Kluyveromyces lactis: one gene and its partner. The protein of the gene in region 1 purifies or fractionates together with the protein of each later gene. This does not show direct contact. Links are inferred from orthologs where the notes say so. Each region holds a gene or a part of one and is shown in the gene's direction. Other genes may lie near its edges.

What was found.
Region 2: the proteins of APS1 (region 1) and APM2 purify together in Saccharomyces cerevisiae (affinity purification with mass spectrometry; 4 studies listed by BioGRID, with this or other methods). This does not show direct contact. The link is inferred for Kluyveromyces lactis from reciprocal best matches to the Saccharomyces cerevisiae genes APS1 and APM2.

Annotation. Positions count from the first base shown.
Region 1 is NC_006042.1:2,118,618-2,120,849, reverse strand, and holds APS1 (Aps1p), read left to right. Parts: upstream 1-1,113; coding exon 1,114-1,584; downstream 1,585-2,232. Other genes in the region: DPH5 (diphthine synthase), read left to right, coding at 1-721; KLLA0_F22792g (uncharacterized protein), read right to left, coding at 1,705-2,067. UniProt on the Saccharomyces cerevisiae protein: Component of the adapter complexes which link clathrin to receptors in coated vesicles. Clathrin-associated protein complexes are believed to interact with the cytoplasmic tails of membrane proteins, leading to their selection and concentration.
Region 2 is NC_006042.1:2,364,799-2,367,890, reverse strand, and holds APM2 (Apm2p), read left to right. Parts: upstream 1-933; coding exon 934-2,457; downstream 2,458-3,092. Other genes in the region: NFU1 (Nfu1p), read left to right, coding at 1-154; MCO14 (4a-hydroxytetrahydrobiopterin dehydratase), read right to left, coding at 305-832; KLLA0_F25410g (uncharacterized protein), read right to left, coding at 2,517-3,092. UniProt on the Saccharomyces cerevisiae protein: Component of the AP-1-related (AP-1R) complex, an adapter protein complex that mediates of cargo protein sorting in clathrin-coated vesicles. AP-1R has a specific role in SNARE SNC1 sorting.

The DNA of each region.
Region 1 (2,232 bases):
GGAACTTGTCGAATCGGGAGCTGAAGAACTTCTCCGTGATGCCGATAAAGAAGATGTTGCGTTTTTGGTTGTCGGTGACGTTTTTGGAGCCACCACTCATACTGACTTGGTGTTGCGTGCCAAGCAAAGGAATATTCCAGTAGAAGTCATCCATAACGCGTCTGTTATGAATGCAGTAGGATCATGTGGGTTGCAACTATACAATTTTGGTCAAACGATCTCTATGGTCTTTTTCACCGATAGTTGGAGACCAGATTCCTGGTACGACAAGATATGGGAAAACCGGAAAATCGGGTTGCACACCTTGGTTCTTCTAGATATCAAAGTGAAGGAACAGAGTATAGAGAATATGGCTCGTGGAAGACTCATTTATGAGCCTCCAAGATACATGAGTATTGCACAATGTTGTGAACAACTATTGGAAATTGAAGAAACAAGAGGCACTGAGGCATATACTCCTGATACTCCCTGTGTAGCAATCTCAAGACTAGGTTCTGCAAGCCAAACCTTCAAAGCAGGTACCATCAAAGAGCTAGCCGAATATGATTCTGGTGAACCATTGCATTCTTTAGTTATACTCGGTAGGCAAACCCATGAATTGGAAATCGAGTATTTGCTCGAATTCTGTGACGATAGAGAAAAATTCAAGCAAGATGTCGCCAGTGATCAAGAATATTTCAAACCACCAGCATGGGTTCCACCTCCAGAAGATGAAGATTAGGCCAGGTCATGGATATGTAAATTATATATTGCATGTATCCTTTGTGTATCCGCTTCTTCAGCTTCATGCAAAGTCGTCTGCGGTGATTCTCATTTTTCGTTATATTAACTATTAATATAACATGAATGTAATAACGTAACTGAATCGAATGAATCAGCATGTAAGCAAAAGAAAACAAACAAAGAATAACAGGTCACTAGAATCAAAGTTTAAGTCTAATTCTGTCCCAGTTGATGTTTTAAAATTAAGGTTATTATTCAGCTCTACAACTTTTCAATTGGTGTATCCGAGAAACTACGGATAAACGATTAACAAGGGCATTAAATACCACAACCACCGAGCTTAAGAGACAAAAGCTATCCTATTCGTTATAAACAAAAAAGGTCATTGAAATGTCACAGATTAAGTACATGCTTCTCACGTCGAGGCAAGGCAAGACTAGGTTAATCAGATGGTATCAACCCTTCGATATAAAGTACAAGCATAAAATACTAAGGGAAGTGACGACTAACGTACTGTCCAGGAAGTCAAAAATGTGCAATATTCTAGAATATCAAGATCACAAAGTCGTGTACAAGAAATATGCCAGTTTATACTTCATTGCAGGGATTGATTTGGATTCGGACAACGAATTGTTGACTTTAGAAATTATACACAGATTTGTGGAAACTATGGATAGATATTTTGGGAACGTCTGCGAGTTAGATATCATATTCAATTTTAGCAAGGCATACAGCATATTGGATGAAATGATAATGTGTGACGGATCTATAATAGAAACTAGTAAAGATGAAGTTATACATGTTGTGGAGGCCATGGATGCAATTGAATCAAATGATGACCTTGATAGGGTATTGAGTTGAGAATGCATGCATTCAAGCAATTGACGTGATACTGACCGAGATGAATAGAAATTTAAATTAAATTGTGAATATGTACAATATATTATCCTTTCTTTCTTTATGTACGGAAACTCAACAATTCTACTTGTACAATAGTTTTACAAAATCTGCATCCCCCATCGCACCTACACCTTTCTCGTTATCAGTAGATTCGCCTTTTTCAACAGCCCTAATCTCATTGTACAAAACACCAAATACGTATGGGGTATCATCGTATTCATCCATTTCACTGGCCAACGCCCTGTACATTACGTTACTCTTACTGCATGGATGCTTTTCTTTGTACAAAAGAACGAAATTCTTGATGAACTCCTGCTTATCATCCTTCTTTAGTTCATTCCATTTTTTATAACATCTCATCGGCGTAGCATGAAAGTTTCTGTTCTGTATCAATGCAAATCTTCCTATGGCTTGTCTAGCTGCAAACATCTTTATTAGCGTCATTACTTTCTTTCTAGTTAAAACCCCTTCTATAGTTCGTAGCAATCTCTTGAATCACTATATATTCTGCTTTGGTCAATACTTCGGAACAATGTTGGCTTGTCTGAGATAGATCTATTTCACCAAAAACGATCCAGTTATTTATTTATTATATACCCACGCCACAGA
Region 2 (3,092 bases), about 250 kb from region 1:
CAGTGAGGATACCTTGAAGCATGGTATTGAAGCTATGTTAAAGCATTACATCGAAGAAGTAGAGGACGTGGTTCAGATCTTGGATCCTGAGGAGAAGATTGCACTTGCGGAGTTCGAAAAACTTGAGAAGAAGCTGGAGAGCAGTAAGAGATGATTGCAATTGCCCAGTATGTCACTTCTTTCTAGCAATGAAAGAAACGTACAGGCATAACTAAGACTAAGCAAGGAATGAATCATGACAGCATGTATTTGCAAGGTATTATGCAAAACAGAAGTACACTATTATTTATTTATTTAATACATTCTATTTATCCCCTATTAGGATGCCCTTCTTGGGATCGATTTGTTTGATGTATTTTTCAATCCGAGAAGCCATCATGATATCAGCATCGGAAATACCAGATACATCATGCGTAGTGAGTCTGAACTGAACTCTGTTGTAGGTAGTAGTAATTGTAGGATGATGGCCCCATAAGTGTGACCTCATGGCAACTTTGTTCAAAAAACTCCATGTCTCTTCAAAATCTCTGAACTTATAATCTCTAACCAATTCATTCTCCATTAATCTCCATTTAGGCAATTTTCTGAGTTCTTGTGTCAGAAGTTTTGGTGGCAACAGCACTGGTACCTGTTTTACTATCTTATTGTACATGTCTATACTATTCAGTGCTTGAAGAGTGGCATTTATTACCTTTTCCAGCATCTCTCTATGCGTAGTTGATAGAATTCCAAGATGTAAGAAATCTTTATTAACTAAAAATATTGAGAAGAAACAAAACACAAGAAGCACCATTTTATCAAAAGTGCTTTGAACAAACACCTTCAAAGCCATTTATTCTAGCATATATAGTAACTGCAAACCTAACCGAGACCTGAAGTAAATTTAGAGTGCCGAGTTAACTATCAACTGATGGTCAAATCAGCCTTGTCATAATGTCATCATGTTTCCTTTTGCTCGATGAGACGTATGAACCGCTAATAAGAAGAGCACTACGACCGATCCATTTCCTTGATGATGCTATACTTCAATTACAGAATAACCTTAAACATCATAAGGGATGCACAAAACCTATATTCGAAGGCAATGGGTGGCATTACGCTGTGATAACTCGTGATAACCTATATTTCGCTATGATAATGCAAGTGAATAATAGTGTTTCTCCCATAAGTGTGTTACATTACTTAGATGAAATCTACCAGTTATGCAGGAAATTTATGGGCATGAAGCTTAACAAGCTCAATGTACGAGATAACTTCCATTTAATTTTCGAAGTTATTGAGGAATCATCCGATTATGGTATCATACAGGTTACAAACTATAATATTATACATGATTTCATAAAGGTAGAAGTTATCAAACCCGACGATGATTCCGAGAATACAGCCTCTGAAAAACATGAGCTGCCACCAGGTGACCAGGATGAAACATTCATAAACAGTTATATTCTTCGAACGATGACATCTGCTGTCTCATGGCGTCCTAAGGGTATCCATTACGGTAAGAACGAATTCTTTCTTGATGTAATTGAGAAATTAGAATTCATTATGGATTTCGAGGAAGGTGTGGTCAGAAATAATGTAATCAACGGAACAATAATATGCCGGAGTTATTTGTCTGGTATGCCTCAATTGAGTATAGGATTGAATAAGTTGATGCAGAAGAATGTACACTTCATGAAACGTTTAAAATTCCATGAATGCGTAGACCTGCATACCTTAATCAAGGAAGAATCTCCAGTTATTAAGTTTATTCCACCGGATGGAGAATTTGAGCTTTGTAATTATAAATTGAATAGACCGCTACTTGATGAACCAGTTATAAAACTACAGTCATTCGGGCTATCCCAAAAACCTAGAAAGAACCAAGAAACCCAGGATAAGCTATTGTTGAAAGCTGCCATAACTACGCATTTCAAAGCTCAGGATAGTGCAAAGGAGCTTTTAATTAAAATTCCGATAAAGTCAGTTATTCGAAAGTGGAATATTGACCTCGAAAAGCCGCCCCTGTTTAAAAGCGATATAGGAGATGTTGTGTTCGACATAACAGCGGGTTCGATAATTTGGAAAATTAACAATTTGAAGGGTGGTCATGGAAACAAGAATTATGGGCTTAAATGCATGTTTGAAATATGGGACCGCCAGATTCATGAAGCTTTAGAGGTGCAGCTACGAAATTCCATGGACCCACCACCTTTAAGGACTGGCCCCAAACTAGAGAGAATTTGGGATCAGTACCATGGAAAAACTACGGAATATGATGGCAATGAGAACCAAAAAGAAGATGTAGACAAGTTCGCGTTAATTGCTATGTCGTTTGAAATCCCTTATTATGCAGTGAGCGGTTTAAAAGTTGAGTATTTCAAGATCGAAGAACCTCAATTAAACTACCAATCTTTCCCATGGGTTAGATACAAGACAGTCAATGATAACGAATATATATACCAGGTTTCCATTTAGTTAAAATTACCAAACTATATAGAGAAAAAGAATAGATTCTTTTCCCGTCAGATAGATAATTACGTGAGATCGTCGGCTATTTCTTTCAAAAGAGCAACTTTGCCTTTGAGGTCTGCTTCTCTCTCGGCATACGAAATCTCCCAATTATGCAACAGTAGTTGTTTGTTGCTTTCAATTCCTATCCTGCATTCCTCCCTAATCTGTAATTGGAATTGCTTTAACATGGAATACCAGGTATCCTTTACACGTTTCAGGCCTAAAACAATACCTAACGAAGATAATGCTCCCATCGAGTAGGCTGTACATAACTCTGTTACAAATCCTCCAATGGAAACAGCTATTAGTGGGAATTGCAACTGTAAGAAATTCAAGTAAACTGCCTTATTAATTTCTTTGTGTAAAACAGGTACTTTGTTCCTAGCATAATCAGGGTCTATAATGGATAGCTTATCCTGAGGTATGCCTAAAGATCCATAAATATGTGATAAATTTTGAACCATTTGAAGATCATTCGTAATGTTACAAAGTTCGTGTAATTTCAACGATAATTTGGATTCGGAATATGTGTAAACTTTCCAAAGGGAAAGTTGTTTGGAAGCAAAATCAGATAATAGAGGTTCGATAGATGTTTGCAA